2 linked regions of the Mytilus edulis genome follow. The protein of the gene in region 1 interacts with the protein of each later gene in a pairwise test. Links are inferred from orthologs where the notes say so. Each region holds a gene or a part of one and is shown in the gene's direction. Other genes may lie near its edges. The genes, in order: transcription initiation factor IIA subunit 1-like and histone H4 transcription factor-like.

What was found.
Region 2: the proteins of transcription initiation factor IIA subunit 1-like (region 1) and histone H4 transcription factor-like interact in a two-hybrid assay, tested with the Drosophila melanogaster proteins (2 studies listed by BioGRID). The link is inferred for Mytilus edulis from reciprocal best matches to the Drosophila melanogaster genes TfIIA-L and Hinfp.

The regions. Positions count from the first base shown.
Region 1 is NC_092346.1:68,137,086-68,144,613, forward strand, and holds the start of transcription initiation factor IIA subunit 1-like, read left to right. Parts: upstream 1-4,234; 5' UTR 4,235-4,364; coding exon 4,365-4,385; intron 4,386-6,447; coding exon 6,448-6,549; intron 6,550-7,528. UniProt on the Drosophila melanogaster protein: TFIIA is a component of the transcription machinery of RNA polymerase II and plays an important role in transcriptional activation. TFIIA in a complex with TBP mediates transcriptional activity.
Region 2 is NC_092348.1:81,079,894-81,087,379, forward strand, and holds the start of histone H4 transcription factor-like, read left to right. Parts: upstream 1-4,220; 5' UTR 4,221-4,434; intron 4,435-7,486.

The DNA.
Region 1 (7,528 bases):
TGTCTCTTTTAAAGGATTTACATTATTTGAAAAGCAAAATAAATTACTATAATCAATTTTCAATTTTTGTGATGATGTTTTAAGAAAAATGGTATAATGGTAAATAAGATAATAATTCAACATTCATAAGTCGAAATGAAGCGGATTTAAGACGAATTAAGGTAGTATCATACAACGAGAAATCAATATTTATATGTCTTATTACTGAAATTGTCCAGTTTCTTAAATACAAAAAAAAAATATCGAATTTCAGTATTATTTGTATAGTTTAAATCATGATTTTAAACCAATTATACATTTTGCTAGATATAGGCCTATTGTCAACTACTTTTTTCAATTAAATAAAATTTTCAATTTAAAAAAAACAAACTAAATTTGAAACTTTTCTATTGATGCATTAAGAAATGATTACGAAAGCAGGGTTTCAATTCCCTGGGGGCAAAGCTGATCTAGCTAAAGTACATTTCTTTGGGTGTTATTTTTTGGTCCTTTAATTTTTGGACATATCTGATCTTTTATATCCTTCAGACCGTAGTCAGAGACATATATACACTGTGTATATGTTACAGTGAATTTGTATAATCAGTGATTATGTAGAATCCCTGAAATTTTCCTGAAATTTTCAGGGATTATGTAGAATCACTGCCTAGTTTAGGGATTATATATAATAACTAAAATTTTCAGGGATTATGAATAATCACTAGAAAAAACGTCAGGGATTCTACATAATAACTGAAATGAAGAAATTAATAGTTTTATTTATAAAGAAAATGAATGAAATTGAAATTATTTATTCTATAAAATCACATAAAAACATCATTATAAAGTAACATAAATTGTAAAATGTTAAGCACAATATATCAAAATGATAACCCAATTTTTAGCTCACCTGGCCCGAAGGGCCAAGTGAGCTTTTCTCATCACTTGGCGTCCGTCGTCCGTCGTCGTCGTCCGTCGTCGTCGTCGTCCGTCGTTAACTTTTACAAAAATCTTCTCCTCTGAAACTACTGGACCAAATTAAACCAAACTTGGCCACAATCATCATTGGGGTATCTAGTTTAAAAATTGTGTCCGGTGACCCGCCCAACCAACCAAGATGGCCGCCATGGCTAAAAATAGAACATAGGGGTAAAATGCAGTTTTTGGCTTATAACTCAAAAACCAAAGCATTTAGGGCAAATCTGACATGGGGTAAAATTGTTTATCAGGTCAAGATCTATTTGCCCTGAAATTTTGAGATGAATCGGACAACCCGTTGATAGGTTGCTGCCCCTGAATTGGTAATTTTGAGAAAATTTTGCTGTTTTTGGTTATTATCTTGAATATTATTATAGATAGAGATAAACTGTGAACAACAAAAATGTTCAACAAAGTAAGATCTACAAATAAGTCAACATGACCAAAATGGTCTGTTGACCCCTTTAGAAGTTATTGCCCTTTATAGTCAATTTTTAACCATTTTTCGTAAATCTTAATTATCTTTTACAAAAATCTTCTCCTCTGAAACTACTGGACCAAATTAAACCAAACTTAGCCACAATCATCATTGGGGTATCTAGTTTAAAAATTGTGCCCGGTGATCCGGCCAACCAACCAAGATGGCCGCCATGGCTAAAAATAGAACATAGTGGTAAAATGCAGTTTTTGGCTTATCACTCAAAAACCGAAGCATTTAGGGCAAATCTGACATGGGGTAAAATTGTTTATCAGGTCAAGATCTATCTGCCCTGAAATTTTGAGATGAATCGGACAACTCGTTGATAGGTTGCTGCCCCTGAATTGGTAATTTTAAGGAAATTTTGCTGTTTTTGATTATTATCTTGAATATTATTATAGATAGAGATAAACTGTAAACAGCAAAAATGTTCAGCTAAGTAAGATCTACAAATAAGTCAACATGACCAAAATGGTCTGTTGACCCCTTTAGGAGTTATTGCCCTTTATAGTCAATTTTTAACCATTTTTCGTAAATCTTAGTTATCTTTTACAAAAATCTTCTTCTCTGAAACTACTGGACCAAATTAAACCAAACTTGGCCACAATCATCATTGGGGTATCTAGTTTAAAAATTGTGTCCGGTGACCCGGCCAACCAATCAAGATGGCCGCCATGGCTAAAAATAGAACATAGGGGTAAAATGCAGTTTTTGGCTTATCACTCAAAAACCAAAGCATTTAGAGCAAATCTGACATGTGGTAGAATTGCTTATCAGGTCAAGATCTATCTGCAACAACAAAAGAAAGAGAGTTTTTAACGACCTCAGCTGGCTATACAACCCTTGCACAATCAACTGAATTTTGCAGAAATCATTAATAGGATAGATTGCCCTTATATGATAATTTTTTATTACCTTTTTGGTTTTTTTGGCAAAGTGGGGGGGGGGGGGGGGGGGGGGGGGGTGTTGCGCAACAACAAAACTACTTCACAACTTTCTCATTACTTTGCATTTCTTGTTAGATAAATTTTACAAAAATTCTCCCCTGAAACAACTGTTGAATTTAAACAAACTTGGTTTAAATCACCACTAGGATATCCAGGGACCACTGTGTATGATGACCCTGCCTGCCCACATGGCTGAAATTAAACATAGGTTTCAAATGCACTTTTTAGTATTATATCTCTGAAACTAAACGACAGTACAACAGTTGCATTTATCATGCAACAATTGTAAATAAAAATATCAGGTGAGCGACACAGGGTCCTTGGACCCTCTAGTTTTTAAATGTTAGGCACACTACATGAAAATGTGAAAAACAATATATAAAAATAATATGCTTCACATCTGTTATTACCACAATATCCACATTTTAGGAAACCTTTTCCTGCACATATCGAATCAGATTTTAACGACACGCCTAAGTGAAATTAAGTGTTTAGTAAAACATCTGAAGGTTACCACAAGAAAAGATAGGAATTTGCAACCTTGAACCGGTACGAGCAAGAAAGATACCATGTTTTGTAGTCAGGTGCTACCTTTTTCAGATTTTTTTTAAAACAATTGTCATTATGTTTTTCGGGTTTCCTTTTCCTTTTTTACCATGTGGAATTGCTATGAGAATATTACACCAAATGCAAGCTTCCTCTAAAATTTGTTTCTATGTGTCAATCCTAAGTTCTGCCTGTTTTCCCTACATTTAGATGCCTAAGTTCTCACAGTTTGAATGTCTTGTTCATTTAAACAAAAACAAAAACACACAAAACAGATGTTCCATAACCTTCTTCACCATTTGCTTTACATGTATCACAAATAACATGCTTTGTGGTTTAAAAATAGAGCATAAATAAGGCCGTTAGTTTTCTCGTTTGGATTGTTTTACATTGTCATTTCGGGGCCTTTTATAGCTGACTATGCGGTATATGGGCTTTGCTCATTGTTGAATCCGTACGGTGACCTATAGATGTTAATTTCTGTGTCATGTTGGTCTCTTGTTGACAGTTGTCTCATTGGCAATAACACCACATCTTCTTTTTTTTACCTGAATATTCATTTGACGCTGGCTTTTAATAAACAAACAATACATGTAAAGCTATTGCTATAAAGGGAATGTTGATATTATTAATTTTGAAGTCTTCAACTTTATCTCGAAACCCTGTCACGGTTGATTATATCTTTTAGATCAATCTCTGTGTTTAAAAGCAAAATTATTTCATCTGGCAAGGTCTATATTATTTTTTTTTATCAAACAAAGGATAATTAAATTATTCATAATCCCTGAAATCATATTAGGGAATTTGTAGAATAATTATTAAAAAGTTCAGTGATTATGTAAAATCACTGGTCATTTTCAGGGATTATATATATAATTACTAATGGTTTTAGTGATTCTACATATTCCCTGAAAAATCAGGGATTCTACATAATCCCTGATTATACAAAATCACTGTAACATATATATGTCTCTGTCGTAGCAAGGATTTGTATAGTCTCACTATACAAATCCTTGGCCGTAGTATACAATCCAAACAATCGGGTTGCTTCTGAATTTAAACACAGATAAACAAACAGGCATTTCAAATAGGCATATGTAACACTTATAAAAAAATATATAAAAATGCTAGACGACATATCGATTTCCAATGGGACAGTAATTCTGTGCATTTCGATATTTTAATTTAACATATGCAATCTTTTCTTGTAATCATTTCGTATTTCCCGCGTCAAGTTATCCTCGAAATATATCGCGAGACAATCAATCAGCTGGCAGGTGCTTGTGACGTCAACAGTAGCAGCGCCCTCTAGACATACGGGATTTAATACCAGCTATATAAGCGCAGCAGTGGCAGTCGACTTCGGCTTTCTTACAGCCCACAAGTCAGAGGAATATATGACTCGTTTTCCTCGGACATAAACAAACCATTAAATAATGGCTACACCTAACCAGGTGGTGAGTTTCAAAAGAAAATGATTGTTATGTTAAAATATTTGTTGTCTAAAATGTCAATACCGTTCATAAAAAAAATCATATATCGAAAACAATGGAATCCATCTTGATTTGTAAACTGATATAATCAACCACCGAACAACAGGTGGACCTGAATGAAAATTTGAATGTACTTGTGGAAAACCATAAAGCATCCAACATTTTAATTGCTATATCAGAAATACCACTAAAATGCTCATTACAAGTTGTATTTCATGTATTGTACACAATATTTTGCATCTTTTAAACCCCCCTTTTTCATGTTAGTTTAAGGTTCATGTGGACCCTATGGCTAAAATGGCCGTATTTTCACCTCAAAATTTACTCTGAGTACAGGCAAACCTGTGCATCTGGAAAAGTTTTAAGGCATAGCATGCCCTAGATAAATAGAATTCAAATGTATTGTATGATTTAGAAAATTCATAACTGAACTGGATTTTGCCGTACACTTTTTTTCGTCCCTGCAGAAGATGATAAAATTAACAAACAGTTGGGTTTACCTTGATATGGTCCACTCAGGTACACAGTTTAAATAACCAATTATTGTCAGGTATCTATTGTCCATCTCATGTCCATGTCTAGCAATACAGCTCACTTCAATTATTACCTGTGGGGAAGTTCTCAAACCTGTTTCCCAACTTAGTTTATTTTGGCACCTTCTGGAGGAATGAAAAAAAGTGCACGGCAAAATCCTGGTAAGTTTTTATTTTTCTAAAACATAAAACATATTTGAAATTTATTTATCTAGGGCATGCTATGCCTGAAATTTTTTACAGATGCGCAGGTTTGTCTGTACTCAGAGTAAATATTGAGGTGAAAATACGGCCATTTTAGCCATAGGGTCCACATGAACCTTAATAGAAGTCTTATACATGGATATAAATGAATATTAAAACAAATGTATAAATGTCATAAATGCGTTTGTCAAACTTTGTATTTGCCCTTATATTTTGTGAGCTTGATCTGCTTTATTTTGTCATTACGTAAAAAATGCTTTTTTTTACAATATGATATCTGAGGGTAGTAATGAGGGGGGATAGGAGGGATCCTGATCCCTAAATCCCGGGCTTAAAAACATGAAATCCCGAAATCAGGGGCTTAAAAACATGAAATTCTGAGGTCCTGAAATTCAAAAAAAAGAATTCCAGATCCCGAAAGGTTCAATCCTGAAATCCCGAGCTTAAAAACACCCCATTCCGGAGTCCCGATAATGGTCCTATCCCCCCTCAGTAATGCCCTTTATCATCGGTTAAAATTCTACCTTGATTTGTTAAAAAATATCCTTATCATGACTTGCAGAGTATCATCATTTTTCGGAAAAAATTAACGCGATTCATTAAACAATTTTAAATATCGTCTGAAAGAATAACATTTAATGGTCATGCATAAAAAATTACCTTTAACGTTATATGACAAGAATTTTCCCGTTATTCTAATATCATATGGCAAGAATTTTAGCTGTTACTCGTCCATTACAAGCCTCATATCTGGGTGTTCATTTCCTATTCTGGTAATACTTTAGTTTCTTTAAAAATGTCCTGTATCAATATTTCTTCGAGTAAACAGGTATTTGATAAAAATGAATAAGTAGATATATTATGCTGCCCTGTGAATTCTGTATGAGGCAGCTGCACTTGACTCTTATGATAAGAGTCTTATCTTAGTTGACTATTATTGTCAGTTTTCCTACTAAAGGTTGGGGGTTCTCTCTGGGCGCTTCTGCTTCCTCCACCAATAAAAACTGACAGGAACAAAAAAGCATAGTAGTGTTAAAGGTGGAGCTAAACACAAATCAATAAATCTCTATAAACTAAGAGAATGATATTTACATCATACATACAGGGTGTTTATACTTAAATCGTAAAAATCATTTTATATGATTGTCATGTAAGTTGTAACTGTAGATGCTTTGTTAAAGAAAAGCAGAAATTGTGCTATAAATTTGTACTAGAAACAATACCAATCAAAACAATGTTGAAAAGGTTGAAATGATAGATGTTAAATGTTTTCTGTTTTCTAATTGTAGCCGAGATTATACAAGTCAGTTGTTGATGATGTGATAGCTAACGTAAGAGAAGCCTTTCTAGATGAAGGAGTTGATGAGCAAGTCCTACAAGAACTTAAACAGGTGACATTATTAGTCATAATAGAACTTAATTATCATTAAAATTTTTTTATGAAATTAAAACTTTTAAGAGTTGTCTAAACTCACAGTAGAAGTAGAGGTTTTCATGTAATAATTTTGAGTTAAAGTTGAATGTATTATACAATAACTTAATTTAGAATATAACGCGTCTTCTGATTGGCTGACGTTATTTTGTTATCATAGACATAATTTAGTCATGTGACCGTGACGTCATCAACGTTTTTTCATGGTTTTCTACGGTTTAAAATGGAATTTAAAATTAAATTATAAGAAATGACTAATATTTTTTCTGTCTATTCGAAATAAAATAAAAAATGTGGTGCACACTGTAAAAATAACCTGCTACGCGCGTTATTCAGTGTGCACCAAATTTTTTATGTTATTTCTTCATAGACAGAAAAAATATTACAGTCATTCCTTAATTGTGTAAAACCTAAGAAATTTTGTTAGTTCCAGTATATCAAGGAAAATGATTTAATAATTTGTAACTTTTCTTGGTGTCATACATTTACATGTTAGTTCACTATGTTCACCAATTGAAAACAATGATCCATTAACAGGAACCAGTTTTATTTGGGTTGTTTTAACATTTTTTAAAAACATGTGTTGGCTTACACTTAAAATTATATCCCACTTTTGATTATTATTTATATATGTGTATAACACCAAATAACTGTTTTCCAAAGGACAACACAAGCTGTAATTTTGGAAATGGGTAAAAGATAGATTTTGTTACTGAAAAATCACTAAAATTCATCTCAAACTACTGTGAGCAGATTTCAAAGATACATATATGCATACACTTATTAATCGAAAATTTATTTGAGAGTTTTAAAGCATGCAGTTTACAACAAAAATAGATACCATCAGTGATCTGGAAGGTTTTTTTCACTATGGGCCCAAGGCCCCTCAAAAATAAATTCAATGGGCCATTTGAAAAATAATGGGCCATGTTGTCAAA
Region 2 (7,486 bases), on another chromosome or scaffold:
GTCGATGTGGCATGCAGTATGTTGGCGAGACAGAGCAGCCATTCAACTAACGCATGAATGGTCATCGAAGTGACTACACTTGCAAGCCCTACCTACCCATAAGTCGTCATTTGAGATCACATGGGCACGCCCAAGCTGATCTCAAAAACTTACCACCACAATCATAGACCACAACGAGGGTTGGTCGGAGGTCGACAGAGTCGCTCGGGAAAGATTTTGGATAAGAAAGTTAAGGACAGTTTCCCCAGAGGGCATAAATGAAAAAAGGAAGATTCAACTAAGAAATTCCTATACAAATATGAATTCTGTAATATCATTCAATTTTTTACAGTTTTCTAGTTTCCATTTTATTAATAATCAATTGATATTCAGGGTCATTTCGTCTATCTGCTATTTTCCGTTTCTTGTATGCAATTTTATTCTTATTTGAAATGTGTTCAAATTCAAACAAAAAAAACCGTTAGAACACGCCCCTATTGACTGCAGTGTGATAAATATAGATTCCACAACTGCAACAAGTGTATTACGATATTTCAACACTCGAGGCAGTTTAATTATAATACTCCCAACGTCCAAAGTTGAACTTTTATGTAAATGTGGTACATGAAATCATACTAGACTCACTTGAAAGACAGCTACTATGTCAAAATAGAGATCCAGAACAAAAATGTGAATTGATATCTAGAAAATTGTGATATAAACAATTGCACACGTTATAAGAGCTAGAAGCACTGATTTGCACAATTAAACAATCAAAAATAAAATAAATAGCATGAATATAGATTACCTCGACCAGTTTCTTCAGTTGAAAATTTTGATAAATAAAGATTAAGATACCATATATGCAGAAATGTAAATGTACAAGTTGTATGATATTCAGGATGATGGAGAATTTTTAATTTACAGTCTTTTATTCTGAATAAGAGCTTGTCCTGAAGGACATGAAAATATTCAGTGGTATTATAAGGTTAATATCTCAATGAAATTAAGTTTTGAAAGTTCTATGGTATTCCATTATAAATGAACGTATATCAGATGCATACCAGCATGGGTTCTTTAAAGTTTTCATGGTTTCATACCGATGGCTACAGTGCTGAAGGTACGTAACAAGGTTGCCTTCTGACTCGGGACGCTGGATATTTCAGTTCATCACAAAGGTTTTTTTCACCCACCACACTTCTCTGATACCGACCGAGGCGGGAGTTTAAACTTGAATGATTACATTGCGGGCCTCGGTTGGTCAAAGTCCCCAAGCCTACTTTGACCTGGAGATCAATCTTCAGATATCTCTGCGGTTTGTCTGTTCCCGTCGAGTGTCCCGGTAGTTCTTTTTGAGTTTTTAGGCATCATCCAACGATAATAATAGGCTTCTCGGTGTCCTAGCACTCCCTTTGTGTTTAGATAGACTCAAAATTGAAAAAACTGATAAATAAGAAAAACAAATTTTATAAAAAGAAAAAACATGATAGCAAACATACTAAAAAATTTAAACAAATTAAAACACAATTACAGAAAGAGATGAGAAATGCCTATTGGAATTATATCGAAAACATGATTTTTGACATTGAAATACAAGAGCCTGAAAATTCGAGATTTAACAAACAACCTTAAAAACTCTTTTCATACATAAAAGGCCAAAACAATGAAAACACTGGTATTGCACCTCTTAGGAGTGAAGGTCTACTTCATACAGATCCCTTGAAAAAAGCTAACATATTAAATGAACAATTTAAATCAGCTTTTACATCTGAGACCAATACAGTTATCCCTGACAAAGGTCCATCAACACATCCAATAATGGACGACAAAGACATCAACAGAGAAGGCATCTATAAATTAATTAAAAATATAAACCCAAAAAAGGCAACAGGACCTGATAACATCACTGGAATAGTGCTTAAAGAAAACATCAACACATGCACAGACATACTCACTCTAATTTTTACAAAATCAATGCAAACAGGAAAAGTACCTCACGATTGGAACCACGCAAATGTAACACCTGTTTTCAAAAAAGGAGACAAACATCATCCTGGTAACTATCGTCCAATTTCACTTACATGTATTTCATGCAAATTACTAGAGCACATAATTGCAAGCAACATTATGAAACACCTTGAATCTAACAACATACTTTATGACTTGCAACACGGCTTCAGGGCAAATAGATCATGCGAATCCCAAATAATATCACTAATTCACCAACTATGTTCAAATAACGACAAAAATATACAAACCGATCTTATCATCATGGATTTCGCAAAAGCCTTTGACAAAGTTCCACACAACCGTTTACTATATAAACTTAAATTTTTCGGTGTATCAGATCAAGCCGCAAACTGGATAAAATCTTTCCTTTCAAACCGTACACAAACAGTTATGCTAGAAAACCATTCCTCTGATAACTTACCAGTTACATCAGGTGTTCCTCAGGGCACTGTATTAGGTCCAATACTATTTTTGATATATATCAATGACTTACCTGACTACTTACATCATAGTCAAATCTGGCTCTTTGCTGACGATAGCATCATTTACCGACAAATAAAATCACCATCAGATTGCCTTAAACTCCAGGAAGACCTAGAAGGAGCAATCAAATGGAAACAAGACTGGCTAATGCAGTTTCACCCTGATAAATGCAACATACTTAGAGTGACCACAAAGAAAACACCTATCCATTTTTATTACAACATGCACGGTCACATTATTGAGTCAGTTGAAAATGCAAAATATTTAGGTATAACTATTTCATCAAATTTAAAATGGAACAAACACATTCAGAACATGACATCTAAAGCAAATAAGACCCTTGGATTCATCAGAAGAAACTTAAAAATAAACTCAGTAACCATCAAAGACCGAGCATACCAAGCCCTTATTAGACCAAAACTTGAATACTGCTGCACTGTCTGGGACCCCTACACAACAGAGAACATTAACTCCATAGAAAAAGTTCAAAGACGTGCAGCGAGATATGTATGCTCAAACTACAAATATACTGAAAGTGTAACAAACATGATTAACACACTCCACTGGCCAACATTACAAGAAAGGAGACTCAAAAGCAGATTAAATATGTTCCATAGAATAACAAACAACAAAATTGCCATACCACATACTGACATATTAATTAAAAGCCAATCAAACACCAGGTCTAGCCACGAACAAACATACCGACAAATTCGATGCAGCAAAGACAGTTACAAATTTTCATTTTTCTGCCAAACTATAAAAGACTGGAACAAATTACCAGAACCAATAGCCTGCAGCACCACTACTGAGTGCTTCAAGGAGAAACTCACTAGAGAGATGCTCCTTGACACTTACAAACACCTACATGTATAATATGTATCTTGTTTTTATCTTATACCAAAAATTAAAAATAAAAATTGAAAAATATTACTTACATATACATTTGTATCATAAAAATTGAAAAATTATTTAGAAACCAAAAATATATATTTTTAATCATTAACAATATTATCAAACCAGACATGCGCCGGAAAGTAATCATCAACCAGTTGATGTTTTTCTGTATATAAAGAAGAAGAAGATGAAGAAGAAGATGCATGGGGGTTGTCATTTTAAATCTGGAGACTGATCGTTTTAACACGTTAGTAACACAGCTACGTTAATCTCCGAATAACGGAGCAATCTACCAGTTCATAAATACATACATAATACGAAATAAAAACATAATCACCTAATAAATTATTTCGAAGGGGAGAGATGTGGACAACAAACAGACAAACTGCTACAACATTGCAGATATTGGTGACCGTCATATGATACTAGCAACTTGGACGTAAATCTTAGATGTTTAAGCTAACTTCGACTTAATCAAAATGTCAGTTATTCAGTGATAAAATCTGAAAGAAAAATAGATGCAGAAATATAATATCGCACATAGTTACATTAATTCATACCTGTTGACTTGTCGGCTAGGTGTGACGTACGCTAACGACGATAGTGAAAGTAGAATAATCGGAAATCCCAAATACTTTTAAATAGCAATTATGTATAAATTATGTTCAATAGATCCGGGATCAGACCGCTGGTCTTTAGAAACATGTTACATTTTCAAAAAAGCTTGTTTATATGTATGCTCTTCTGACATCTATGACTTTGTCCGATTAATACTATATATATATTCTAAAATATCATGGTCAATGTAGTCCCGCCATTGCTTGATTGTTGTTACCGCCACTTTCGATTTTGATTTTGGATTTTCCTTTTTGAATTTTCCTCGGAGTTTAGTATTTTTGTGTTTTTACTTTTTTTTCAGCACTATTAGCTGTTTCGTGGCAGTCACTTTTTATTGATGAAGGAAGCCCAAATGCCAGGAAAGAAACACCGACCTTCGGCACGAAATATTTACATTCCTTGTAAATTCAGATTTCTTGCCACAATATCCTTGATATGGGAGTATATGTTAGTATCCTAAATTTCTCAGGGTTTTGTCATATTGTAAATTAATTGTATTCATCTTTCAGAATTCATTTTCTTGTTTGTTTCACAGAAATGATAATGGTTTCCGGTCAGGGAGAGTTAAACGAAACCAAGTAATTTATATACCCACAAATCACCAAAGACACAGAAATTAACAACTATAGGTCATACACCGTATGACCTTCAACAATGCACAATTAAGGCCCATACCGCATAGATTAGTCAGCTATAGAAGGTACCGAAATGACAAATATAAAACAAATCAAACAAGAAAACTACCGGCCTAATTTATGCAGAAAATAATTCACGAAAAACAAATATATAACACAGCAACAAACAACAACATTTGATATTACAGGCTCCTGACATTAGACAGGCACATACAGAATGGGGCGGGGATACACTAGTTTGTTGGTACTAGTTACCCCTCCCCCTCCCTTACCAGAGGCAGTAGTGTAGTAGAACAACACTTAGAACAAACTATAAAAATCAGTTTAAAAAGCTTAGGCAGCACTGAACCATTTGATTTTCGGGGGGGGGGGGGGGGGGGGGGGGGGGGGCTATGGGGTTTTTTTCTGGACAATCTATTTTTTTCGCAACAAGTCGAAAACATTTTTTTTCTTTCAATTTTAGCATTACATATAGTGGCAGCTGAGGGGGAAACAAACAATTTTTTTTTTCTCAGAATCAAAAACAAATTATTTTTTTCTCCGAAAACTGGAAACAAACTTTTTTTCCAAAAAAAACATAGCCCCCCCCCCAGAAAATCAAATGGTTGCTGCCTTAACTCATCAGATGTATACAAATAGAAATGCATCTAAAAACACTAGACGCCCACGAGTACGTATACACGTATGATACGGTGCTTTTTGTCCGCAATTCGCTTTTTGTCCGCTTTTGCTTTTTGTCCGATAATTTTGCTTTTTGTCCGAAACTTTTGCTTTTTGTCCGTTGCTTTTTGTCCGTTTTGCCTTTTGTCCGATTATTTTGCTTTTTGTCCGAAACTTTTGCTTTTTGTCCGTTGCTTTTTGTCCGTTTTGCCTTTTGTCCGATTATTTTGCTTTTTGTCCGAAACTTTTGCTTTTTGTCCGTTGCTTTTTGTCCGTTTTGCTTTTTGTCCGATAATTTTGCTTTATGTCCGATATAAAATGTGTATATTTTTGGCAGGTTTCATTTTGAACTTCAAAATACCATGTCCTTTTAGGAGTTAAATACAGACCATACTCACATTATAAATGATTTGTACATGAAATTTCATGTCTTTTACAATATATCGCATTACCTCTAAAATGGCTCAAAGCACTAATATCCTAGACCCGTAGGTGTTGGTCAACAGAGGGCAAGGGGAATACTCTTGTATATCCCTTAGTCTAAAAAACAACTATTGAAAGCTGGCTAAACTAAGACATACTCCAGGTAGGCCATTATACCAGAAGAAGAGGTAGTCAAACCCTTATAAATGGCTTATAGCACTTATGTCCTGGATCTACACGAGTTTATCAGCAACGAATTAAAAGGGACATGAGTTTCGCCGGTATATCACGAAGTAAAAATAAACCTCATTATTGCCAGCTATTCAAACTAAGAGATTCTCCACGTTGGCCATTATACCAGAGGTATAGGTAGGCAGTGCCTCTTAAATGGTCCATGGGCCATGGCACTTATGTCCTCGACCCGTACGAGTTGGTCAGAAGAGGGTAAGGGGAATACTCTAGTATATCACACAGTCCACCAAAAATAGTGACGGCTGCCCAAACTAAGACATTTTTAGGTGCGCCCTTATACTAGATGTTGGAGTAGTCATTCTCTTAAAAATGGCTCATAGCACTTATTCTATAGACCCGAACGAGTTTGTCAACAATGAGTTAAAAGGGGGATGAATTAGCCCGGTATATAACGAAGTTGAAATAAACTGTTGCCCGCTGGCTAAACTAAGAAATTATCCACGCGGGCCATAATATAAGAGGTCGAGGAAGGGATTGTCTCTATAAAATGACCATGAGCACGTATGACCTAGACCCGTACGAGTTAGTCAGCAAAGTGTAAGGTTGGTACCCTAGTATATAATAAGTCGAACTAAACTATTGCTGGATGGCTAAGAGATTCTCCGCGTGGGCCATGATACCAGAGGTAGAGGTTGTCATTGCCTCTAAAATGGCCTAAATCACTTATTCCCTAGAGAAGTACGCGGTATCATCAAAGGGTTTAAAAGGGAGTTGGAACCTCTGTTTACAAAGAAGTCGAAATAAATTATTGCCGGCTTGCTTAAGTACGAGATTCTCCAAGTTGGCCATTAATCCTAGGTTAAATGTGTGCATTGCCTTTTAAATGGCTGAAAAAACTAACGCCCTAGACCTGTACGAGTTTGTCAGCAAAAGGTTAAAGGGGGGATGCGATGCCTCTTTTTACAACGAAAATATAAATTAAGCCGACTGGCCTAACTAAGAGATTCTATACGCGGGGTATTATATCAGAGGATGAGGTAGGCATTACCTCTAACATTGCCATAACACGTATGTCCCAGACCCGTGTAAGTTAATCAGCAAAGGGTAAGGGGGGTACCTAAGTATATCACAAAGTCGAAATAAACTATTGCTGGCTGGCTAAACGAAGAGATTCTCCACATGGGCCATGATACCAGAGGTAGAAGTGGCCATAGCCTCAAAAATGGCCACTTATGCCGTAGACCCGTACCAGTGCTTCAGCAAAGTGTTAAAAGGGGGAGGTGGTATCTATGTTTACAACGAAGTCGAAATGAATTATTGCATGCCGGCTGGCCAAACAAAGAAATTCTCCACATAGGCCATTATAACAAAGGTAGTGGTGGACATTGCATCTAAAATGGCCCATACTTCTTATTCCATTGATCTGTACGAGTTTGTCAGCAAAGGGTAAGGAGGGTACCCTGGTATATAACAGAGTCGAAATAAACTATTGCCGGATGGCCAAAAATAAAAGATGATCCACGTTTATCATGATACCAGAGGTAGAGGTGGGCCTTGCCTTTAAAATGGTTTATATCACTTATGCCAGC